4 linked regions of the Caenorhabditis elegans genome follow. The protein of the gene in region 1 interacts with the protein of each later gene in a pairwise test. Each region holds a gene or a part of one and is shown in the gene's direction. Other genes may lie near its edges. The genes, in order: fkh-6, ham-2, ceh-22 and peb-1.

Evidence for each region.
Region 2: the proteins of fkh-6 (region 1) and ham-2 interact in a two-hybrid assay, tested with the Caenorhabditis elegans proteins (one large-scale study listed by BioGRID).
Region 3: the proteins of fkh-6 (region 1) and ceh-22 interact in a two-hybrid assay, tested with the Caenorhabditis elegans proteins (one large-scale study listed by BioGRID).
Region 4: the proteins of fkh-6 (region 1) and peb-1 interact in a two-hybrid assay, tested with the Caenorhabditis elegans proteins (one large-scale study listed by BioGRID).

The regions. Positions count from the first base shown.
Region 1 is NC_003280.10:4,379,075-4,385,122, reverse strand, and holds fkh-6 (Forkhead transcription factor fkh-6), read left to right. Parts: upstream 1-1,716; 5' UTR 1,717-1,834; coding exon 1,835-1,872; intron 1,873-2,032; coding exon 2,033-2,141; intron 2,142-3,496; coding exon 3,497-3,708; intron 3,709-3,781; coding exon 3,782-3,935; intron 3,936-4,592; coding exon 4,593-4,898; intron 4,899-5,087; coding exon 5,088-5,240; 3' UTR 5,241-5,245; coding exon of another isoform or gene 5,246-5,290; 3' UTR 5,291-5,336; coding exon of another isoform or gene 5,337-5,507; 3' UTR 5,508-5,538; downstream 5,539-6,048. Other genes in the region: B0286.1 (uncharacterized protein), read right to left, coding at 142-304, 1,441-1,500, 5,246-5,290, 5,337-5,507, 5,552-5,706. UniProt on the Caenorhabditis elegans protein: Probable transcription factor. Binds to the DNA sequence motif 5'-[TA]TGTT[TG]T[TG][ATG]TT-3'.
Region 2 is NC_003284.9:4,552,835-4,559,922, forward strand, and holds ham-2 (Zinc finger protein ham-2), read left to right. Parts: upstream 1-1,850; 5' UTR 1,851-1,859; coding exon 1,860-2,019; intron 2,020-2,664; exon of another isoform or gene 2,665-2,808; intron 2,809-3,098; exon of another isoform or gene 3,099-3,540; intron 3,541-3,908; exon of another isoform or gene 3,909-4,047; intron 4,048-4,277; coding exon 4,278-4,451; intron 4,452-4,499; coding exon 4,500-4,771; intron 4,772-4,821; coding exon 4,822-5,004; intron 5,005-5,096; coding exon 5,097-5,240; intron 5,241-5,731; coding exon 5,732-5,977; 3' UTR 5,978-6,574; downstream 6,575-7,088. UniProt on the Caenorhabditis elegans protein: Probable transcription factor that acts downstream of egl-15, to promote migration of the HSN motor neurons from the tail to the gonad primordium during HSN cell differentiation.
Region 3 is NC_003283.11:10,671,005-10,675,896, forward strand, and holds ceh-22 (Homeobox domain-containing protein), read left to right. Parts: upstream 1-1,629; coding exon 1,630-1,841; exon of another isoform or gene 1,842-1,919; intron 1,920-1,976; coding exon 1,977-2,069; intron 2,070-2,866; coding exon of another isoform or gene 2,867-2,889; coding exon 2,890-2,975; intron 2,976-3,227; exon of another isoform or gene 3,228-3,306; coding exon of another isoform or gene 3,307-3,340; coding exon 3,341-3,436; intron 3,437-3,494; coding exon 3,495-3,591; intron 3,592-3,645; coding exon 3,646-3,882; intron 3,883-3,963; coding exon 3,964-4,074; intron 4,075-4,180; coding exon 4,181-4,388; downstream 4,389-4,892. UniProt on the Caenorhabditis elegans protein: Involved in combinatorial activation of gene expression in pharyngeal muscle. Specifically binds a site necessary for activity of the B subelement of myo-2 enhancer.
Region 4 is NC_003284.9:2,209,472-2,217,060, forward strand, and holds the start of peb-1 (FLYWCH-type zinc finger-containing protein peb-1), read left to right. Parts: upstream 1-1,579; coding exon 1,580-1,624; intron 1,625-2,770; exon of another isoform or gene 2,771-3,061; intron 3,062-3,986; exon of another isoform or gene 3,987-4,109; intron 4,110-4,164; exon of another isoform or gene 4,165-4,546; intron 4,547-4,763; exon of another isoform or gene 4,764-5,111; intron 5,112-5,334; exon of another isoform or gene 5,335-5,520; intron 5,521-5,758; exon of another isoform or gene 5,759-5,975; intron 5,976-6,158; coding exon 6,159-6,281; intron 6,282-6,348; exon of another isoform or gene 6,349-6,470; intron 6,471-6,479; coding exon 6,480-6,581; intron 6,582-6,636; coding exon 6,637-6,810; intron 6,811-7,167; exon of another isoform or gene 7,168-7,430; intron 7,431-7,589. UniProt on the Caenorhabditis elegans protein: Putative transcription factor. Binds to specific sequence motif 5'-[TC][AGT]TGCC[GA][AT]-3' in regulatory elements of target genes such as myosin myo-2. May modulate gene expression, perhaps acting in opposition to transcription factor pha-4.

The DNA.
Region 1 (6,048 bases):
TCGTATTTCAGTTTTTTCATTTTAATATTTTTTGGTAGCTTCTATTTTTGGGATTTTTTTTTAACACGTCCACGACAAATTTCAGATTTTTTCAGCTACAGTAACCCAAAGAAAAAAATAAATTTCCAGTCAAAATGTCACCTTTATTATCGCGATCCTGTGGATGCTTGTCCATTTGTTCTCTCTCCTCCAACTTTTTCACTTTTGCCTCTTCCAGTGTCTGCACCAATTCTCGTCCCAATAACAACTTTTGCGGGATGTGATGTTGAATGTTACCTCGATCGAAGAACAATGGTTCATCAGCCTGAAAATGGAGTAGTTAGTTGACCCTTATGACGGCTACTTTTTTCTCTCTTGTAGACTCATGTGAAAAGAAATACAGGGAGTAAGTAAAAATAGAAACAAGCAAGACCTTTGATCAAAAAGTTTGAAACAATTTGTTGATAAGAGAAAGTCAGACAGATAAGCAAAACAGTGGCAAATATTCAGGTGATTTATTTAAAGTGATATGTTTTCGTTTCAAATGGGAAAATATCTTGTGATTCTGAAACTACACAGAGAAAAATTGAAAGTGTGAAAAAATAGAACTATCTATGAAAAATATCCAATTTTGGAAATTGTTTGAATATTTGAAATTCTGATTATGTGGTGAATTATTTTAAACAACCATTTTTAAAATCACTTTCTTGAGGGAAATTATTATTGATAAAAATCTTTTTTTTTTCGAAAAAATCGAAAATTTTGCAATCAAAAATTTTCAAGTTTTCTAAATTTGTTTCTAAATTTTTCTGATGCTTTGGAAAATGGCTAGTTTTGTCTGAATTGACCGTTTTAGCATTAAAACAAATATTTCAAATTATTTTGGTCGATCCAGGCACTTCTATTCACTTTTCGAGGCTACAGAAAACAATGCCCAAAAATGTGGCTGGAAATTTAAAAAGTTAAAAAAATCCAGTTTTTAATGAAATTAAATTTAAATTAAAAAAAAAACGATACTTGTGGTTTATAATCATTAATTTTAAAACAAATTTGTTTTTCAGAAGTTTGAAAAAAAAAATTGGAAATCATTTTGATCTACTATTTTGCCAATTTTCCCTATTAGCCTTGCGCCGACATTGCTCCACTTTGACGACTTATGTCTTGGTTCACTTAGATTTTAACAAAAAATGATAAACTAATAAAATGTAGAGAATTATTTTGGGAGTACTTTGCCAGTTAATAATTTTTGATAAAATCAAAAAGAGCTGAGATATACGCTGTCAAAGTAAAGGAAAGTGCCTGGAAGTCTAGTAGAAAAAATACAATGAATGAAAGGTGACTAAAAGTCGCTGGAAAGTCAAAAAATATGGTCAAGTTAAGGATTAAAAAATCGCAAAATTTTCAGAATAATTCCAGATTACTGTAACGGGAGTACTGTGTACAACAAAAAGAAGCACAAACCTTCTGATTCCTGCTGAAATGTGCCGTCTCATTTTGCGAGTAATGCTCGATGGCTCCTCCCTGTAAAAAGTTGTGTGTAATTTTGTGTTGTAATACAAATATTCTCCAATCGTCGTCGTGTTCTCCCTTTCGATTTTTCGTTTATTTACAAAATATAAAAAGTAAGAGATGATCAGATTGGATGTTTCTGTTTCCCTTTTACCAGTGAATCAGCACCAGAAAATGTCAGGAGCACACAGGGGGGAGAAGGAGACAGTGTGCACAATCTTCTTCCATTTCTTTCCCTCCACCCACACCTCCGTCTTCACAGTTCCGAGACCCCGCCCTCACTCTTAGCTTCTGCATAATCCGTTGTCTCATTTGACACCCCCTACCATAAAAAAATACAATAATCATGACTCGCCATCAAACACATCTTCCATTTCATATTGTGTAAGTTATGTATTTATTTATTTTATTTATTTATTATTGTTTTTAGAGAGGGAGAGAGAGAGGGGAAACATATTTTCTTTTTCTTCTTCTCTAAATACAAAATCCCCGTTGCAAAATTCTGTTAGAGGCAAAGTTTTGAAAATAAAAGAGCTCTTTCCAGTCAAGAGGGAAATTCGATTGACAAGCCGCCATACAGTTACGTTGCACTTATTGCAATGGCAATCGATGCTTCGCCGGATAAGAGAATGACGTTGAATCAGATTTACAAGGTAACGGGAAGCTTTTCGATAACGTTTTTTTGGTATAGCGGTTTTGGAGGAATTATCATGAAAATTTTGCTAAAACTAAATACTTTTTTGCGGAAAAATACCATTTTAAAAACCCAAAACTGGTGCGGCAATTCAAATTTTGAAGAATTTTTGAGCAAATTTTTCACAATGTTAGCGGAATATTCCAGTTTTTTTTGGACGTCATATTGAGTATTAAAATATGTGCTAGAACTTTCAGTTATTCCTGCAAAAATAGATCTACGAAATTCAATTCCAAAACTTTAAAAATTACTTTTTTTCTGAGAATTTTTATCTCACTTTACACTAACTTCGAGGCTGCTGAAATTGTTCCAAATCCGATTTTTATCTTCTTTTAAGTTTTTCAGGTATAGGCAAACGTTTGAAAGATTTTTTTGTAAATTTCAATTATTTGAAAACTTGAATCATCGGAGTCTATTTAGTCATATAAAACTGATCAAGCCGAGCCATTTAATGAAACATTTTCTAGTTCAAAATGCTCCTTTGAAGCGAAAAATTTGGCGATCATCTTGTAATGACATATACTTCATTTAAAAATCCAGAAAAATATTCGTCACTTCTCCGGAGATTCTCCCTATATTTTTTGTACTTTAAATTGTTTTGAAATTACTAGAAAAGCCTCAAAATATCTGTTATTTTGGAGATTTTCTAACACGATTATATAGCAGTAAAATTAATCTGCTCCTTATTGCTACAAAAAAAACGAAATTCGAAAAAAAGTTCTTAAGGTTCTACATCATCTTTCCCATATCACATTTTCGTACAGTAAGTTTCATACATTGATATTTTTGTTGTGATATTCAGTTGGTTGCTTTTTTTTTCCACCTAGCCCTGCCCTACCGTAACCCTGTCACAAGTGATCTAGTAATGTTCAGTTCAATCTAACTCTGGAAAACCCAACTCACTAGCCAGCACATCTACCGTAACCCACCACTTCCACTCTTCCGTTTTGACTCATCAACCTTAATAGATCTGACTAATTTGGTGTGGGGGGCACCCTGTGCCTCTCCCATAACATTTACACAGTGAACAACTTTTCCTCTCTCCTACAAGTCAATAACAATGTCAATATATATATATATAGACCTTCTTCGTGTCAAGACCCAAAAACCTTAGTATTCAACTTTGACAGTTAATATCTCAGCTCTCGTTTGTCCTAAACAAAAATTGTCTACCAGCCAAATATTTTTTGGTTATTTTTCTATAGGTTTGTAGTTGATCATTCATTGATATCTTTATTATGAACCGAGATATAACCTTTCAAAGTATGTTAGTTTCCTATCAGGCGCAAACAAAACCGATGATGTGTGTTTCAGTTCATCGAGGCCAAATTCCCATATTACCGTGACGCGGACGCGAAACGAAAACAGGGATGGCAGAACAGTATTCGACACAATCTGTCACTCAACGACTGCTTTGTCAAAAAAGCACGAGACGGACAAAGCTGCGCGAACGACAGAAAGGGCAACTATTGGCAAATGGTGGCGGACAATGCGCCTCAGTTTGACAACGGCAACTTTAAGAGAAGGTATGGATAGTGACAAGAGGATTATTATTATTATACACTCGTGAAAAATGACTATTTGTTCATGTATTTACAGACGTGTCAAAAGACTTGGAATCGGAAAAATGGGTTATGCGAATACGACGGAAACTACTGAAACAGGGACCATTCTACAGCAACAGCTTCCGTTTTTCAACGGGTTGAAGTGGCCACAGAATATTCAAACTATGGATCCTTTCCAGTTTTTTAAGGTAAATAATTGCCCAGTGAAGATTTTCGGGAATCTGAACGCTAACGCCCCATGAAAAATTCGAACAGGCAACAAATTTACGAAATTGTACTAAAAATATTGGTGAATCTGTAGTAAGCTTATCGTTTAGCCCCAGAGTCCTTACTAGTTAGTTGTGAAATTTTCGTTACAACTCTTATAAAATGAAGCAAAGTTGCTTTATATTCCCAATTAAAAATAATTTTATTAATAATTGTTTTTCCAAAAAAAACTTTCATGAAAATACTCAAAACTCCGAGGAAACTGTGCCAATCTCAAAAAGATCTTAAAGAAATTAGCGAACTGTGCAAATATTTCACAAAGACAACTATGCCTGCTTGTAAATTTTAGATCATAGGCAGGCATAGGCAGAAAAATATAAAGTAGGTAAGTACGCCTGAAGGCGTGCCTGCCTACCAAAAAAGCCCAAAAAGTGGACTCCATGCCTTGGTCTACTTTGACAGCTTATATCTTGACTCCCTTTGTTGTTATCAAAAATTGTCAGTTGACAAAATATGGGCAAAATATTTCTCTACATTTAAATAATGACAATTATTTGATAAAATTTCAGGCAACCATGATATAAGCGGTCAAAATAGAGCACAATCGGGGTGCAGATCTAACACTTTCAATTTTTCAGTTCCAATACCCCAACTCCATCACTGATAGTGCCAACACCTCCCAAATCAACAACTCCTCTTCCTCATCGTCATCATTTGATACCTCAATTTACACAAGCGCCTTCCCAATTCCAACTTCTCATTTCGACACAAATCTAGTGGCTCCATCTCAACCACCACCAGTTGTGTCTGATGTAGAAGTTGTACCATCGGATACTGTCAAAGAGGAGGTTCTAGTTGATATGAAGCCATTGATCCCTGGGATTTCAAGTACAACATTCTTGACAAGTCTTCAGATGACTGATCCGAGGAGTATCGAGCAACAGGTTAGTTGAAATTTTCAAAAAATGTTTTAAATAAAGTTTATGCTACTTTTTTTTTAACTCTTGCAGCTTAATGGAGAAATTTTGAAGTCGGTAAAAATTATGCTATCTCCACTTTTTCTCCTATCTCCACTTTTTCTAAATTTTAGAATTTTCATAACTAATCAAAAACCCTCCTAAAACTTATTCCAGCAACTGCTCTCCACTGCAAGCAACATGTACCCAAACGCCTTCATGCCCCCTTATACCAATTGGTCCTGTCAACCAACAACCACTTTCACGGGATTATCATTTGATGACCCATCTCTCTATGGTTATGGACAACAATTCCCAGCTTCATCTTAACTTACCCCTGTCAACTGCCTGATCCTCGTTTCGCACTGTTTCAGTTCCTCCTGGAATAAATTTTTTGAAATATTTTGGTAATTAATTTCAGATTACCTTCAAGCTAGAATTTTCATCCGAATAATTATTCTTCACCTTCTCCTCCAAACCTTCAATTTTCTCTTTGAGACCCGCAATTTCTTGTTCATATTTTTCGATTGTTTTCTTCGAATTTTCATCGTTTTTATTGTTTTCTTTTTTTTGCTCTTTTGGCTCTTCTTTTAAAGTCTATAAAACATGAATTATGGTTTTAAAAAAATTTCAAATCTTACCTGACAATCCGTCAACTCCTTCTGGCACGTTTCTTGTTTTGTCTTCAACCCGTAAATTTCTGACTCTTTTAATTTAATTTTGCTTAAAAATTTGGTTGATTCGGCGTGGCGGGATTGTAATTCAGCCTCGATCTTCTTTTTGTGCAGCCAGATTACTGAAAGAAAAAAACAGTGATTTGACTTTTAAAGTGTTTTTTTTTCAGTTTTTTTTTAATGGCAGATCTACTCAATTTGGAGGGTTTTTCGAAGAAAAAAAATCACCGATATCAATTTTATTTATAAACTTAAGTTTATAGTACTTATTATTTCAAAAACTAATATTAATCGGAATTTAAAATTTACCAAATAAAAGTTGGCAAGAAAATCTAAGTCTCTGAGAACAAAATTTTGGTAAAATTTTGTCCAAAAAATTTGTAGTCTAAATTTGTAGTAAGTTCAAATTTTTTGAGATCAAACTGTGACCAATAATTAATTTTTTTCGAGAAAATTTTTCTGCG
Region 2 (7,088 bases), on another chromosome or scaffold:
TTCACTAAGTCCAAAAACTAAAAATCGCAACAATTGTAATATGCTAATACATATATGAATAGGAGCATTCTCTATTTGAATGTCTAATTGATGCAAATATGTGGACCATAAAAGTATGTTCCTAGGTTCTTCAAACATTCTTTCCAATACCTGTTAGTCCTGCTAAAATTGAAAACTTCTAAAAAATGTTCATTTCCATTTCCCTTTTTTCTCATATGTTCCTCCTACTTGCCCACCTAGACCTCTTGTCACTTTGCGTTCACCTGTCTGTCTTTTGATGTAGTATATGGAACAGTTTTCTTATCCATTCGCTATATCTCCATTACCTTACTCGCCTCTTGTTTCTTTTCTCTCGGAGATATATACCAGATAGACATTTGGCGGGAAAAGGCAAGATGTGCTATGATAGCTACTGATTATGTAGCCGTCAAGAAAAGGAACGCGACCTGTACGCGGGAGGAGGTGAATCCTTATTATACGAGCGCCTGGACACACGGCCAAGGCCAATCCCTGTTCGTGCCGAGAATCTCAACGGGGTAAGATTCACACTCTTATCCGTCACCGCTCTACAATTACTGTAGTTGCTGCGGCGTGTGTAGGCCCAAAAAAATAATACAGATAGATAGAAACTCAACAGTCATACTCAACATTTTCAAAATTTTGGTAGTGTGTGCCCAATTAAAATAGCACATTGAATAGAGATAGTTGAACTTGTTGATGCGGATCGAGAAAACCGGCCTCAAAGCATTGTGTGATTATGGGGTCGAATGGCAGTCAGAAGAGAGGGGGAGCGGGAGCGAGAGAGAGACAAAAATTCGAATATAATAGCGATGTTGGATAGTTTATTCTAGCATTGCGCAACCCGAATCAATTTTACAAAACTGGTTTTGTTGTGGTCGTCCAATAAGAAAAAAGAACACGAGAATCGAAGATGCGCGCAATCCTCAACTCAAGCAATCATGCTGTCTATGGTTTGAGGGCTTTTTTGGTGTATCCCTCGCGTCATTCTATTTTTTTTTGGGTCAGCCGTGTTTGGTAGAAGTTTCCCAACTGTTATTCGCTTGTGTTCTATACTAAAAAAAAGCTTGAACAGCTTGCCCACATCTGTTCCTAAGAGCATCGTGCTTCTATCTAAGACTCGCTTCCAACTTTTTTTTTTCAAAATTGAGAAAGCTAATCAACTCGCAATTGCTAGCCAAAATTGTTGCCACTTACTATCCCGACTGTGCTTGATGCCATTCCCCTCACCCCGTGCGTCCCGTCGCTCACTATCTCTATTCTGCATGGTATGCCCCGCCTCCAAAAATCGGGTAGGCGGGGGGAGTCATAGCCTTCAGCTCGTTCTTGCACTACTGCTTGCCATTTTGTTAGTCCAAGAGCACAGGTCACCGGATTACTGTAGTATTCATTTTAAGATTGCAGAAGCCGTGTGACAAATTTCGATTTTGAATGTTCTGTTATTTTCTCACTTCCTCCTCTCGAGCACTCTTACCTTCCCCGCCATACTTGAGCTACTGTAATGCATTGTCCAATCGCTGCTATGTATGCTTTTTCGCTACTTTTAAACAGTATCAAGTGAGGGTGTAAATACCTGGTTGGTGTCAGCCGGCGACGACCTTCTTGTCTCCGGAGAGAAGAGCTGCGTCTGAATACCTTTTCGAGTGTTGTACGCAAAACTTTTCAAGTAGTGGAGGTCTTGGTAGCCCATCCTACTTGTTCATCTATGAGCGCTCTTTCATTCAAACTGTCCACCGTTTTTTTCTTCTTCCTTGTTAGTGTTTCCTTTCAAATTCGATTTTGTGAAAATTTCAGCACCATTTTCTAAAAGCTTCATCAAATAACAAAAACATTTTTAGACAATGCCCTATCGTGCAGAGCTAAAACGTCCCGATTTGAAAGGCTCATTTCCCTGCTCGATTTGCCAAAAAGTATTCTGCCACAGTTCGTCTCTGAGTCGTCACCGGATGCAGGCTCACTTTAAAAGCTACACCTGTACCACTTGCAACAACGAAATTCCAAGTAAGTTTGAAAATGCAAGTTTGAGAAAAAAAAGAGAAATAGATGAATCAGAGTAGCAGGAGCTTGACTAACAATAGGGGAGAAAGAGCGAAACAATTTATGCCGCTATTGATGTTTTCACAGTTTTGTATCATGTTTTATCATATGATAATAAGAAAAAAGAGAGGGAAACTTAACTCGAGAACATAGCTATTGTTGAATTGTACGGAACTTATTCTATTGAAAATTTAAAATTGATCTAAAAATCTAAAAATAAAAAATTATGGGTTCTAGGTGATGTTTAACTTTCTAATTTATTTTTTCAAAATTGAATTAAAATTCTGAACGAATGTTCTATTTCCTGCTGCATTTAGTTTCTGTCTTCTACCAGTTTATTGCATTTCTACATTTTTCTAATCTCCCTCCCAATACATTTATTTGATCGGAAGTCTCCATAATCTGAAATGCGCGAAAGCTCAGTGGCATTGTTTACTGACAAGCTTAAACTCAACTCACACCCTCCGATTAGCACGTGGCTATATTGGGCATGTGTCAAACAAGGTTGATACAGTCTCCTTCTTTCCGCCAAAAAATTACATTGGTTATCTAAATATTGACACCCTTTCCAACTACTACTGTATTCTTAATTGTAGACATCTATATGGCATGGCAAACTGAATGAGGAGGTGTGCAAATACCGAGATAGCTCCGACTGTCAATTAGGAGTATCTATTTAGTAATATCTGTTAAGCTTTTAAAACAACCATGTGCACTTTTGGACTAGTAGCAAAAAGTTTAAAGGTGGAGTAGTGCCAGTGGGGAAATGGTTAACATCCACTTATATAGAGCCAAAATGACCAACATTATTGACAGTCAAAAAGTGGCAATAACTGTGTTCTTGCCACTTTTCGAGAAAACTATAGCAATGCCGCATGTTCGGATCTCTACAATGTTTGAATATTTATATTTGAAAAATATGTAGGCGACTGTTTATCGACGACTTTCAAAAAAGTAATTACCAATTTTAAAAACAAAATTAAAAATTTCAAAAAATTTTTGTAGCGTCGTTTGGCAAATTCGGCGTTATTTTTTTTCAATTTCCCACTGGAGCGTCTCCAGCTATAATGGAAAGCAGTATCATGTATTAAATAATAACAAATTGACTCTAATATTTGTGCAAGAATCTTTTGAAAAGACACCTCTGACCATATTACGCCACAGTTTTACAATAACACGTCTGCTATTTGCATTGTCTAATTGCCCCATCTTTCCATCCCGAGCGGCTTCCTAAGAGAGCGAGAGGCATAAATAACCGACGGTATGTATGTATTACTTAATGGTTTCTTTTCTTGGAATGGAAGGTAGGATGAACCTCCAAGGTCAGTCATTTGATGACCATCCATCAGCTAATTGTTGGCACGCCACTGTCGCTAAGTGAGCTTGAGAGCGAAGAATAGGGCCAGCGCGCGGGCAAAGTAAAAAAAAAACCACCGATTGTCTTCTTTCCCCATCTTCCGCAACAAAAATTGCAACCTCTTCTTTTTCTACCACCTTTCCAACATTACAATTTATTGGTTGTTCACTCGCCGTCAATCATTTGTTACGGTTCGCTGAGCATGGGGGTCGTTCAAGAAACTTTCGGCCAAAGCACCCAGCTTTTTTCACACCTTACTTCACCGCTCGCCTATACGTGGAATCCATACGGCGGCATGTTAGCAGGCAGATCAACAGGATTTGTTATATTACTCGTGCGCAATCCAACAATAAGCGGATCAACCAGTAGAATACCGAAACATAACATGAAAATGTTTTACAGCCTGACCCCTGCGTTTGTCGTTTTTTTTTGTGTTACTGCTTTGTCGGTAGGCAAGATCCGCTATTCTATAGATTTTCTATAGTGCGTATTTTCAAATTCAGACAAACATGCAAATGAGGGGGGTCGTCGTAGAACATTCGTCACATTGGCACCTAACATGCCTTTACGGGCGCGCGTATAGTGTCCCAATGTTGCGAATTTCATTTGATTGATAGACAGTTAGGCTCGGTGGCACAAAGAATGGCAATTAAGTGGAATATGGAAATAGCAATGCAGTTGGGGTTGGCAAATAGCCATTTACATGTTACTTTCGACAAATATTTAGATCATTGAGACATGAATTCAAAAGCTGGAGAAGGGTTCAAATAGTATTTGATAATTACCATAATAAAATGAGTGCGAAATGAGCCGGCACTGCTCTCACTGTTCAGTCATTAGGAAACCTTAAGAAACAATTTTGCAGGCAACGATACACTACGCAGTCACATGTATCGAGTACACAACATTACCCGAATGTTTATGTGTCGGTGTTGCAATTGGGCTTTTCCCGACAAAACAAGTCTTCACATCCATATGCAGAGTATGCTGAAAAATGGGACACCGGGGGAAGCGGCTGTTTTAGCTAAGAGTTCAGATGGTAAAGATCTACCCACAAATTTTGAAATCCATTAATACAAATTTGCAGTTGTAGATAGCACATCCGAGTCGGGCTCCCCGCGTCAGTCTCCACCCTTCTCGCCTGATTTGTTGATGCAAAAGCGTATGTTACAAGTTGCTGCAAACAATAACAACATTGGATCCATTTTCCCGACACTGCTCAAAAGCCCCGACTCCAAATCGATGTTCCCCCTGGATCTTTCTAACATGGGTCCTTCACAGTTCCTCTCAGCGTGGCTTGCCAACAATCCCATCAACACGGCGGCCCTTAATCTGGCAGCGCAACAAACACCGTCCAAAGTACGTTACAACTCTTTGATGTTTTGAATTCAAATGTATTACATTTTAAGGATTCCATCCAGTCTTCTAATATTAGCGATTATGACGACTTAGAAGTGCAGACAACTGAAGAAGACATCAAATTTGAAGTGGAAAGCAGTGATGTCAGCCCTCGGTCAGTCATTGTCAAGACTGAACCAACTTTCAAAAGAGAACTGGAACACGATGCTGATATTGATGTGGAAGGCGATGATGTAAGGAAAACTTATTGAAATTTTGAGGAAAATTTGTTTTTCACCCCATTAAACTTTAATATGTCATATTATGAAACTTTCAAAATTTTCAGGGCGAACCACCATTGAAAATGACGATTGATGACAAAAACATCCACATTTCCCATGATCAGCCTTCTCCAACGGTTTCGGATTCTCACATCAGTGGTGGATCGTCTAGTCATTCGGGCGAAAGTTTGAAATGCTTTGATTGTCAGGTTAGGAAGTTGTCTTAAATGGTTTTGAATTATAATTTAAAATATGAAAAAAAAAAATAAAAAACCATCCATTTTGCGAGCGCTATGTGAAGAGAATCTGGGAATTAGGTACAGTACTTCTGGTGATATGATTAGTCTTTAGGTTAAGTTTGATAATCCAGTCATGGACTGCTCCACTTTCAAGTTCACGCTAGGTTTCAGCTGGTTAAAATCTCAGGGTCCTATAGCAAAACGGGTGCTTTCAATTGTGATGATAAATTTATGAAAACGGATTCGAGGTTTTTTGACACACTCGATTCCAAATATCACAAAAAATTTTCCTGAAGAATTGTATGTATTCCAATGCTTCACAAATTTAGGGGTGTCCTACAAGAAGCGCGCGCACTGTAAAAACTCGTGACCTGTAGTTCTTCAGCGGCCACCACTACCGACTGAGTTATCCCCCACCCACTGATATTTTTAATAATTTACATAAGTTTATGATGTTTCAGGTAGCCAGAGGGAAGCTTGTTGCAGTTGAGGACAAATGTCGTGCCTATGAAAAGACCATTAGAGAGTTGCAAGTTCAAGTGGATTTCCTCCGCAAAATTCAACCGAATCCGATGCCACCCGTGATGCTGCCTCCTCCGATGATGCCTATGCCATCTCCAGGGCCGAACAATCTATTTCAAAATCCTGCGATGAGAATGTTGTTGAACAATTTGATTCACATGAACCGTCCCTCAGTGGTTCCCTAGATCCAAACGATTTCAATTTCTTTATTTCCGATTTTGATGGTGTCATCAAATCTAGTTGAACCACGTAGTCATTTTCATTCCTTGTTTCTAATCAGCATTTTGAGCCATTGAAATACAACAATCCTTTGAGCAATTTCCGAAATACTCTGAATCAAAGAACCAACAGCTTTTAAAGCGGTTTTGGTTGGCTTTTAAACTAATTGTCGTTTATATCTTTGTACATAATGCCTATTCTCGTAGCTACTTCTTATCTTTGCATCCAAATATTTCAAACTTCCAAAAAAAATCAGAGTGCTCTCATTCCTGACAATTGTATTTACCGCAATCTTAGAAACTGGTGGACATTTTCCAAACAATCCGAATCTACTTTACTTTTTTGTTGCAATAGCTTCAATAAAACGTAGCCTTAAATGCACTCAGCGATTTACCTAGAACGTCCTTTACATTACTTCATTGTTCTAAATGTTTCCTTTTTTATTTCTTCTGGTCCTTTTCTTGACTTTTATAGCATTACCCTTTTTTCCCGCCTTGACTTTTTCCTTCCCTCAATGATTTCATTTCATTATATTTGTGATAAATAATTTTCAAAGTTCAAAATGCAGGAAGTAATAAGCCATACAAAAAACTAGCAAAAACGAAACTCTCACAAGATGATGTTATCCTCGCATAAAACATCATTTTGTTTGAATGCAAAACTGAACCCGTTTCAGAGGGTAATGTGCTTTCAGGTGAAGCGATGTGAAAATTCATTTTTACCTTTTCGACCCACTAGACGTCACAATCAGCATAGTGAAAGGTTGAGCATGATTCATTTCTGATTTCTTCCTGATGTACTCAGTCGATTGTCTAAAACTTCAGCTTCAAGAAATTTCGTACTAGTTGATTCCCTTTTTGCAGCTTTCGTTTTCTTACATCAAAACGAAAAATTGCTAGATGAAATACTTACGAACTTGTGTTTGGCTTCAATTGTTATTCAAAATTTCTCAGGAGTGTATTTAAAGTATTCTAAAACCATATAAAACTCCAAAAATAGTCAAATCTATGTTATTGCAGAATAGATGCTTAAAATATTTCTCGAAAATGAATTAATATTTAGATAATTTTTTGTGAC
Region 3 (4,892 bases), on another chromosome or scaffold:
TACACACAAACTTTCATGACCTTTGTTCGTTCGTTCCCTAATCTTAGTAAAAAAGTATAGAGAAGAGGATATTGTGAATCCATTTTGTGTGTGTAGGTGGAGAAACGCACACACAAATCAGCAAGGAACAAGAAGTTGAGCAAAAAAGATTACGGTAAGTGGACAAACAGATAACGCGGCCGTATTTTTGGATCCAAAAGCCAAAATTGTTGATGAGGAAGATTGATGATGCGCAAATTAGGGAGCAGTTTTTGGAAGGTCAAAGAGAAGCCCGTCCGCACGCATCTCCCGCGTACACACCACAAATAAGGTAGTTTACTTTTCGGCGGCATCCCTTTGCGGCTGTACACAATAATCTTGTAGAAGATGATTCTAATACTTGTAATTGGATTAAGGTTAGTTGTGAATACGAGACAGTGATACTGTTCACAAGTTTTCTTTCGGGGAAATGTATATGTATATGAGTGAAGTTATGTTGAAAAATTGTCAAATTAAGTCAAAGAATTCAATGTAAAATTTTTAAGCCAAACTCTCAGTGATATTAATAGTCTTAATGTAGACAAAGCAAGTGATACAGTTACATAGTTAAGCACGACTATATGCGCTTTGTACCTACTCAAAGGGTTACTCAGAAATCGCTAGAACCTATCATAATGAGAGTTTGTTTTTTAAATACGTTAGAGCAAGATAAATTCAAGCCAAGATAATAGATTTGCCTTACAGGCAACTATTTTCTGACTGATTTCCTGAAATGTAAAAATTAATAGAAAAACTATTTAAAGCAAAGTTTTGAGCAAAATCGAATCCTAAAGTTACTGAACTACGTTCAAGCTTTCGGAGCATTAACCTAGAATAAATCCAGTGCGCGAAAGTTTGGGGGATCATTGCGAACACGAAATGAGCATAAATATATTGGGTGCTCATTTGCCGAACCACTTATAGTTCGAGCACTACACTTGATTATTGTTAGCCGAGATGCTCATACCCCAGCAAATAAATAACGTGTGCAAAAAGATAGAATTTGATCTATTATGGAAAGTTATGTATTAAGATATCGACTTTGGTACCTAATCGATTATTGTTATTAATTTGTGAAAGGAGCCTTGATGAGATTTATCTTTAACCATTAATTGCATACAATGACCACTAATTCAAATCTATTCCGCAATTGGGTCCTTGTCTTTATAAAGAATGCCAAAATGTTGTACTGGTTTCAAAAGTAAGTAGGCATAGTTTCAAGTGTAATAAAGTTTTTACATAATCTATATATTTGTCTTGATGGAAATATTTAAGTATCCGATATAAAACTAATTACACTAGTCTCAGAAGATCTTTTTTTTAATAACACAATCTTTACTAGAAATGAATTTCAAAAAAATAGGACTAAATTGTACTTTCCATTCCTCTTCACTCTACTCATCCTCACATCTCCGAGATTTGTCACAAAAGAGATGAAATTGTATACTGAGCTTACAAGAGTGCGCAGAGATATCTAAGCATACAAATCTACCGTACCGTCTTCGCTTTCTCCGCGATTTGTGGGTTGGCGAGCCAGAGGGAGCACAGGTGGGCGTGTTGCAATCAGCACAAGAGGGTCGGTTGTCAATTGCACTCGAGTCTCGAGAGCCGATGTTCAACGTGTCGGCGCTAGCAGCAGCGACGCCTTCTATCGCTTCGGTTTCATCCGTTGCAAGCCCATCGGAGCAACATGGATTGTCTACAAGTGTTGGCGTCGGAGTGAATGATACCACTTCTCGAACTGGAGATGGCGGCGCCGCTTCATCGGCTTCAAGTGCATCAGCGGCGCCACAACAGCAGTCACAATCGGCACTTCATAACAAGTAAGTGTTTTTTGAAGAGAGAAGGTCGGAGAGGAGAGGAGGCTTGTCGTCTTGAAGATGATCCACTTTATGTGAAGAGATCCCCCTCCACTCATATATTCGATTACATCCTCCACTAGTATCTGTTCATTTCAGGACGTTTCATTTCTATATCCACAACTTTTCCATTCGCGTTATTCATTTCTACTCAATTATTTCCAAGAAGTTTTTTGGCGAAAATTCCAAATCGTACGCAGTTTCTTTGAAATTTCCACAAACAAATGATATTTATGAAACAAAAATCTAATGATATTCAAACGAACAATTTAGTTTTACTTGCTTAAAATTATTTCGAATATTACATTTTCAGAAAGCAAAATTTATTCTAGTATTTTTTTATTGTCCTTCACCAATTCAATAATTGAAAAACGTATATTTCTAAACACACAAAATAAGGAAACGATATTGAGATGCGTTGTGTTCAAATTTTCCCCGATTGTTTCCTACAATGAAACGGGATGAAAATATCCTAAGAACTACTATGTATAGCTATGACGTGTTACAATAAGACATTCAAGCCTTTTAGCGTTGCAATTTTATCCGTTATGTTATGTTTTGTTGATTCGTGGTTCTGACTATCTTTAACCTTGAGACAAAATGCAACATCCACTTTCAACCATGTTCTCCCCATTTTCAAAGAAAATTTCCAATATCAGTATTAATAACAGTTGTGCTTAAATTTAAAATGTTTTCTACGAGTATAAAATCAACGAAAAGTTAATAAACCGCACAAAGCGACGTATCTTTTTTTAAAGATGCATTCATTCACCTAGAAAATGGTCAGCTCTCCTCGACCAAGCGCTTATATCAAAGCATTTTGGAAAATGTTTCACAATAAAGTTTTAACTATTTTCGGCAACTTCAAAAGGCGGTGGAGAAGTTATTTGAAACTCTTGAATCGCCGCTTCTCGTACCTTTTTGCAAATCAAAACACCGCATATCTTATATAAAAGCTTGTTTTTTGTCCGACTCCTTCACATTTCACCATGCAAACTTATGCATTTTCCAGACTCGAAGCTAAATGGGACACTCTACTTCCCACCGACACCAATTTACAATGTTCCACGTGGCCTGATAGCATTCCATTACTTGCAGGTAAGTAGATTTGAACTTCTTTTCTCGAATATCCAATAACGAATTGTTGTGTAACATGTAATGCGGGAATAAGTAACACAACACCTTCCCGTGAGAACACTATACAGTATTCGTATGTCTTTTCTGAATATAGGTGATATAGGGATACTGTATACGGTATACTGTCTCATTCTCTTATTTAAATTCGCTATTTCGTGTTTACCTAGAATCGGAAATGAATGGATGCAAGTAAACAGAAAGGGGCTTTTTCTCTGTTCTTGGCGCCGCGACTCTCTATCACGAGTCTTTTTCCTCTTCTACCTTTCTTTATTCTAAAGCCAGACAAATTATTATGCAATTAGCAAGTGAAACAAGGGTTTTCCCAGTTTCAGGATATTCTGCTACTCCCACATTTTCCTTCGATCCTTGCACATACGGCAGCTATGATCCATCTGCATATTTTGCTTCAAACGGAATTGCTGGTAAGTTTTTTCCCTATTAGAAAAATAAATGTTAAACCTACCTAACTGAATTTTGTAGGTTCCATGTACACTCTACCTGATCAATTTCCACGTTCTGAGAATGATATGCTAGATAACAGCAATACATCAAATGGAAACAAAAGCGATAAAGATGGGTGAGTTCATAATTTCAATTTAATTTTGATTCTTATTCCAACGTATATTTTCAGAATCAAACTTGAAGATGAAGATGAAATTCTGGAAGATGAAGAGAATGACGAAGAAGATGATGGAACTGGAAAACGGAAAAAGAGAAAGCGTCGCGTTTTGTTCACAAAAGCACAAACTTATGAACTTGAACGACGATTCCGCTCGCAAAAATATCTGAGCGCGCCTGAACGTGAAGCTCTTGCAATGCAAATTCGACTTACTCCGACTCAAGTAAAAATTTGGTTCCAAAATCATCGGTTAGTATTTTATGAAATTTTGATTTATTTGTGGTTACATAATGACTTTTCTATGTTCAATTATAACTTTTAAAAATTTAGATACAAAACAAAAAAAAGTCATACGGATAAGCCAATAAACGCGGCGCTTCTTACCACAATGCCCAATGCATTTTCAAGTCAATCGACAGCGGCCAGTTTTCCAACAAGAGCGTGAGTTTTATTCAAAATCAATTCATTTTTATATTTTGTGACATGGAGAAAGTTGGTTGATATCAAACAAAATTTAAAATATTAAATTGTACCTGTATATTTACAGAATGCCGATACCAATGCTAGTCCGTGACTCTTCTGCTCGTTCTTCGGACATTTCCTCAACATCTCCATACACGGTAGCATTTGGAAGTGCCAATTCAGGATACCTACCAACACCTTCCGCCTACCTCCCAGCCACTTCCGGGTATTTTTCAAACGGACCTTCAGCAGCTTCTTCCTACATGACCAATACTCAATGGTGGCCTTCTTGATTTCTCTAATACTCTATACCATGTCAATTTTTCCCAGAATACATCTCGTTTCTCACTTTTAATTGCTCATTTCTCATTATTACATATTTTCTCCGAATTGTGATCTACAAATTTATAACAACAAATCAGTTCGGACTACCGGTTTTTGAAATATTTTATCAGTTATGCCCATACACATGTTTTATGTAAATTGTGATAATTTTATTAAATGACTTAAAATTTACGTTGAAACCACATGAAAAATGTATGTTTAACTATGTATAATGCATTTAACAGACCGTCTTCTATGTACATGTTTTACGATTTGGAAGATTTCGTATCGATTACACAATTTCCAAGGAGAAAGTTCACAAAAAATTTTGCAGTTTTGAATAAAGTGGGGAGTACATTTTGATGTATGACATAGAATGTTTTTAACACGTGTGCTTATTGCCAAGTTGCATTTGAACATTTTTGTTCACCCTTCAATTAAACTTTCAACAAATTAGGAAAACGAAAATAAAT
Region 4 (7,589 bases), on another chromosome or scaffold:
TTTTAAAATCAGACAACTGAGATTATATCTCGATTATACAAATCACTTGCTCCGGGTTTTTTTCTCTAGATTTCCATCGGTTTTGGGACTGCACTGGAGATTTTTGGATGAACATGTGAAAATTTTTTAAATAATGCACAGGCCGAACAGTCACACTTTGAAAATAAATTGATGTGATCTATGCAGATAGTTGCAAATTTCAAAAAACTCTACCCCTGAACACTGTCATTCTGCCATGCCATAATTTAGTTCAGTCGGATGAATGACCTTTCGTTGGCCAATTGGATGCGAAACACTGGACGGCACCGAATCGGCACGGCAAGTGGTACTGACAAGCGACAACAAAGACGGATAGACCATCAGTTAAATCAAGATAAGAATTGCTTGTGAACTTTTTCAGATATCGCATTAGGTCGAGAAGTTAATCAAATCATTGCTTTTTGAAGACATCACTGAAAGTGCCAATATTTTAGTAATTGATATTTACACAAGGGACCCCACTGAACTCATCAATTTTAAAATGTGATTTCCAGTTGATGTAAGCAACCAAGAAAAAGGCATATTACTTCAGGTTTTTTGCACTTTTATTTTCCAATCTCACAAATGTGGGCGTATGATGAGCGGCACACTCACGCATCCAAAAGTTTGCCGGATTCATAAAGTAGTATAGAAGTGTCTCACGAGCGTGGAGGGTGGCGCTGGCCCGAAAAAAAAATACGCTGAGACTGTATTGGAAAAGTTTAATCACGTATTTCGCTCGACTCGTCATTTATTTGAGCCTTAGTTTGTGTCTCGCCGTTTTTGGTTTTCCGCCTCTCCCTCATTCCCCCCGGTCTATTCCGAATTTGCCGCGACCCATCACAGGTCACGAACTTTAGTGCCCGCACGCCGCGTTTTGTATCTGCCTGCGCATCTACACGCTGACATACTATTTGTTTGATCCGCGCGGAACTGCCACAAACAACAACAATCTGCGTCCGGCGAAGACGTCGTCACCATATACCCATCTATTGCATCCAACTCATCTCTTTCTTGTATTTAATTCCTTTTTCACACACCCACACACACACACACCACACCACAGGTTGCAAACCATTGTATAATTTTCTGAAAAGCACTGTAACCAATTAGAAAACGATTTTTCAAAAGTGGAGCAGTGCTACATATATGATACCAAAATAATCAAATTTTGTATTAAAACTTTTAAAAAGTCAAAAAAAATCGTTTGAAATGTTTTTTTTACTGACAGTCAAAAAGTGGAAATTTTTAGAGTTTATGCCTCGAACAAAAACTGAGATTTTTCCAATTTCCAATTCCAGTTTGACACACATAGTGCAACTCCAATTGCTCATTATTTTATTAGTTTATTCTTACAACCATCACCCTTTTCCCAGATGTATTTCGTACCATGATGTGTGTATGTGTGTGTGTTAAAAGGTCATTTCAAGCTCTTCGTGAAAGGCACCCTGCTCAGTTTGTGCCCTGTTATGATCAATATAAATGTGTACTTTATTCCAGGGCAACGAAACGAGTAAACACCGAGAAAAGGAAGCATTCTGGATATTCCAAACTGGGGCTGATGATGACAACAACAGTTCAAAAAAATTGCTGGCGGCTTGACCAGGTGAGTGACCAGTTAGATTTGTTCAGCGACAGGCGTTTTCAGTCGGTGGTTTGAGTTTGCACAACTGTTTTCTTGTCCTTTGCGTGAGCCAAGGGGTTTGTGCTGAGTTACCCTCTATCTATTTGTCAGAATACGATGTGATGATCAAAACTTTAACATCATGCATTTTCTTGAGATCCATAAACCCCCCCCCCCCCCCCTCTCGTGTGCTTCTCTGTTTCTCGGTTTGTTCTCCTATTCACCCCGTTCGTTTCAGTGACGTGTCGTCGTTTGTTTCTGCCTGCCAAATATGGCTACGGGGGGGAATATGAATTAAATTGACTTGGTATCTATCATTCCATTTTTATTTTCTGGGAGATGTCAAGAAATTTTGGAGACGAGCGGTTTTTAAAATTAATGTAGTTTTTTTTGTTGTGTTCTCACATTTTAGTTTTCTAATCGGGGAAATGTTGGAGTAAATTGTAATTGATAGGTACACATTTACTTATCAATGGTTCACAGTTTCAGTTAATTATCAGTATTCATATGCGTTTTTATCTTTTGTATAATTTTAACATTCTACATTTTGCAACCAAAAAGCTCTCTATGTTTCTCCTTTACGGGCGGAAAGTAGTGCTGGCTTGTACCATTGCCAATCAGCTCTTTGATTAAAAAACCAACATATCAGTTGACAGTACCATTTTGCCCCTGCTCGACTTCAATGGGCCGCGCCAGATGAGTCAGCGACCTTTGCACACGAGCCCGGACAGTGCTAGGCGCCGGGGCATGACCAATGCGCGAAAGTTTTGTTGCGTAACCGCATGTTTATTGTCCGCTTGCCAATCGTTTTCACTTTTAGTGATACTTGCAGCTCGCCCTCGTCGTTATATTTTTTTTCTGACCGTCGACGCTTGCTTGCCTTCTCCGAAAAGTTTTGATATAAAACTAGCAGTATTTTTCGTTCTGTGGCTCATAGTTTCTGACGTCTTCCTCTTTATGACTTTACGCGGAAGAAAAGGGCAACATCTAAAACCACCCAGTAATATAAAGTGCGCGGTTTCGAGGGAACAGTTTCGAGAGAAAGATTAAGTAGATGAAGGCAGAGAGAACCAACATTTGCAAATATAGTACTAGGTTGGAGGAGTGCCTCGGCGCTGCGATGCCTGTCTACAAGTTTGCACTTGGCTGGTCAGTGGCGTTACGTGCCACTCTCTGTACTGCGCGAGACGTGGCCAAACTGATGCGAAGCACAATATATACACGCCCCGAAGGGTCATTGTTTGCCGTTTGCCCCCCCCCCCCTTTGCGGAAAGGCCTTTCGTACTGTACTCTTGATGTGTGCTTCCTTCCGGCCGGGCACCCGCCACCGTGGTTGTCACAACTCGGATGGCTCCCACTTCCTCCACTGTCGAAACCGTTCGGACCGCCCATTTCCATTTTGGCTCACGCCGGGCTCTCGCACACATACTTTCCACACTTCTACTGTCAGTGGTGGCAACTGGAAGCACTCCATAGTTGACTAATGACCTTTCTAACCTTGTTCCCTGTACTAGAGCTATCAATTGTGTATCATTTCTCTTTTACACTATTTCATGTTTGAATTTTCGAACAGGGGGTCAATCTCTGAGGCAGGAAGGGTGGAGCACCAGTAACGCACTTTACTCGTTTTGCCTTGGCGCGTTCATTGTTCCATTTCACAATTTTTCTCCTAATTTTCTAGACCACTTCAGTTTTTAGAAGCGCTAGATGTTGTTTCATGAAGTGACCAGTCTTGCGTGTTCAGTTTTTTTCTTGGCGTAAATGCCCACTCTTCTTCTTTTCTCCTAGCTGCCCCTTCTTCACTTTCTCCAAATCAAGGTTCAGCTATAGAAAGTAAAATCGCCTTTCACTCATCCTGGACAAGATTGACTACGAGCTTTTGCAGCTTCTAAGACTTCTTCGAGAATGGGGGGGGGGGGGGGGGGGGCGCGACGTGAAAATGAAGGGCATTCATGGATCCCGTAGTAAATATGTGATATCATCTATACCAATTTTCTGGATATCGAACTAATCATTGACGATTGCAAAATTTCGAAAAATTTGTAGGAGAGAAACGATTTCATCTGACCGATCCGAGACTGGCACCCCTTTGTTCTAGGCCCTCTCCCGATTGCCATAGAGATGTCCATCCATCACCTTTCCTGACAACCCCAGATGGTGGCGTATGTGTATGTGTGTGTTTTTTGACTAATTGGAAACGAAAAGCCGACTCCAGACTTGTAATTTTGCTCCAGCAATGTTTTTTTTCCAGATCTTTTCAAATTGACGAATCTGCCTTTAAACGTTTCGTGATAGACATAGAAATTGACATCCGGTCAAATAATTAGATGAAAAAACCTTCCATATTGGGGGCAAAACGTCCAAGTGAGAGTGGATCGGCGACTGGCGCCAAATTGCTGCTGCCGACGCAGTTACCATACTTGGATGTCGGACAAGGCGGATTTCGAGAGTTGTTTTTATGTACACACGCCTTTCACCTCTTTGCCCCTTGTGATCTTTTTTGCATTCGTTAGACGCTTCTTTCATTTTCGTTCCTCATCACCATCATCATCCACTACTAATGGTTCAGGGCACGGCGTATGCGCGCGCGTGCCTCACACCATCGGATCGCGGATGTTTTGGCGGGGTTGGCTGTTCATTTAGGGGGGAGGCGGCCGATTGAAATGAAGAAGATGTTGTGGATGTAGAAGTAGGAGGAGATGGAGGAGGCAAAGGCCTTCTCCCTCGCGGTTCTTCGTGGCAGGCAGCCTGACCCCGTTCCTTACTGAACCGCCCCCCCCCCCCCCCTCTCACTTCCACCCGACGCCGCCATCGGAATTTTAGACTACCAGTAGAATATGGATAGCGGAAGGTGTGAAACTTCAGACTGCGATTCTCTAGATTCACGCTTACTGTATTTCTACCTTACTACTAGTCTTGTTACGATTACCTTCCTAATTTTAACGTTTGATATGTTTTCACCTTCGGCTTCTATACAATTCCCATCATCTTGAAATAGGTATTATCAGCATGTAAGCATGCCAAACAAATATTTTTGTTGTCCAGTGGTGCTCGACCGTTCCAGGATCGGTATTATGCAATTTTTCGCTGAACCAAGCATATACATACTGATAAGAAAAATGTTTGTTCTGTCGGCCACTGATTACTAGACACTTGAATTCTGACCGCCATAAATGGCGAATCGTACGCGAGAAGTGCTGACGCCGTCTTGCGCCGATGTCCAATAGGACCTTGCACTTTGCCGATGTTGCAACAGTAATAGTTTCCATCAAGGTTATGCGGACTAGTGCCACGCGATTGGGTCAAGCCGTTGGCTTCCGCCTTTCTTATCAAAATCTTCGCCCTCAATTACCTAATTTTGTGGTTTTTTTTTTCTCTCCCGAATCCATCAATCCGGTGTCAATCCGTGTCTTCCGCGCTAGGTCATGCGGGCGGCGACGGCGCGGCCCTTTTTTCGGTAATCGTCCTGGCATCCCACACTTTCCATTGGCCCGGATATAATAACTTTTTGGAGACCCCCTTTCTGGTGCCTATTTGCAAAACTTGCTTCATTTTTGGTCACTTTTACTCGAACTTTCTCTTCGACGATGACCCCCTCGCCCGCCACAAAAACAAAAAGTGAAACTTGGAACGGTACTCGTTATACCTCATGCCTTTACTTTCTCGCGCCACTTCCTCGCAGTATTCCATGGATGGAAAAGCGGTCAAAAAAGTATTATGATCAGGCTGGCGGAAGATAGATGGAAGGAATTGTGGGTCAACGAAGTCAAAACACCATTACTCGATAAAAGTCGCCGCATGTTGCGGAATGTGTGCCATCGAAACTGGTTACTGTATTTCTTTTCCGAGAATTTTGCTTTGCCCCGCTATCAACTTTTTGTTCTATCTTCTTTAGAAATTCCGAATTAAATAATGATAATCATATACTTCTGTATTCTTTTTAACCCTTCTTTAGTCTGTTTTTGAAATTTCGACCAACCACCTCAACAAAATTTACCAAAATCAAAAAAAAAAGTGAATGTGTCAATCTCGTTTCAACGCATGTTTCTCGCCAATTTCCGTACAGTCAGTTGTGCCTCCTGCCGGTCACTCATCCTCTATCTCTTCGCCACTCTCGTTCTCGCGCACCTCATCCAAATAACAGTATTCGGTGTCTTAGTTGGCAGCCGGTTGGTGCCTGCCACGATAGGTTATCAGTTCAAATGGCACGCGCCTCTCTCGACTGCCCCATCAGCTGATTTGTCCGCCCCAAGCAACTGATAGTGCCTGGGGCGGAGAGATAGATGAGAAAAAATCGTCTGATTCTAGGTGTCTGAACCTCGCTCGCTATCCAACAGCAGGTCCGCTCGTTTTTTTTGTCACATCTCTCTTCGTTGGTCATATCTCTTTTTCATCATCTGTCTAGTTTGAGTTCAATTTCTAATTCATCAGAGGTCATTTGGTTATTATTATTCTATTGCTCCCATCGCTATTTTTTTTTGCTCATTTGATTTAACACATCAATTTTCCTTTTCAGACAATGCTGGGTCTTGAAAAGCCTGGATCATCAGACATTTCGTCTTCTTCCACTGATACTTCCGCCATTTCTCCGATTAGCGTGAGCAGTATGCCACTATCACCGGACAAGGAAAAGAAAAAGGTAAGTACTTTGAGATAACTGTTTGGACTGTCCGAAGGGCAAACATAGTTTTGAAAGAGAACGTTTGCATAGTTGACCGGTGTTTGTTCAGACGGAAAATTTAGGGCTTCCTTCCCACACGAATTTCAAAACAACCTGACACCGGGAAACACCGCCTTAACTGGCGATTTTGGGCCGATAATAATAGTTTTTTTTCAGATCTCATTTGTCCGATACAATCCAGACATTCCACAAATTGTCACATCTTTCAAAGGATATCAAAAACTTATGTATCAAGGCTACCGATATAATATTTATCAGGTATCATAGACCATCATTCAAGTGGTGACTTTCATCACGAGTTGTTTTTTTTCAGATTGCTCCAGAACGTAACTTCAAGTCTTGGAGATGCGTTTGCGCTAAGAAAATGCATGATGGGCAGTGGTGCAAATGCCGAGCTGAAACAACCATGGATAATAAAAACGCATGCACGAAAGGATCACACAATCACCCTCCAAGACACCATGTCGCTGAGATCGAATTTATCAAGGTACGTGGCGAGATTACACAGTCACAACTGTCTAGGTTAAGAGCTAGTGCCCTTTGCAATTGGCGCAGTGCCAGATCAGAGCACCGATATCATAAGGTTGAATTTGCCAGCTGACTCTTTTTGTTCCAATTGGTTCCTAGGCTTGGCGCCTTCAAGTTCGAATTTCATAACGTCATGTGGAACCTCTAGCTTTTGAGAGTGTCTAAGGGAATTGTGTGTACGTGCAAAAAAGATAACTTTTTTTTATTTCGTAACCCTTAAAAATTCACTTCATGGCACCAGTAGATGGAAAAAAAAGATCGTCGGCCCTTTTCGAGTGTGTCAAAAATAGTTTGTGTATACAAGTTAAAAGTGCAACGAGATGCGCTACTTTCGGCGCTGGGTGGCGCCGCCGAGTGCCTAGGTCAGTTGCGATGTTGGTCAGGTCAAATAAAACAATCTGAGCGTGGCACGGTTCGAAACATCGGCCACTCATGCGCGTGCCGCAATTTTGCCCCCCTCCTCCCTCCCATGTTGATGAACCGCGAATAATTCGCAAACAGATCCGCGCATTGCCAAGGTCAAGCCATGGATGGCAGGCACGCGGCAGCGCGCGCGGGGACAGGCTGGGCCATACCACCCGACTCGTTAACCTAGATGCGCCAATTTTCCCAAATCTATTGCGTCGCTGCCATTCAAATTGACGGTACAAACTTTTTGCGAATTCTTCCGAATTGGGTCATCGGAAGGGTCAATTCTGACGCAATGTAAAGTGCATCGAATTTCAAATCCTGATTCGA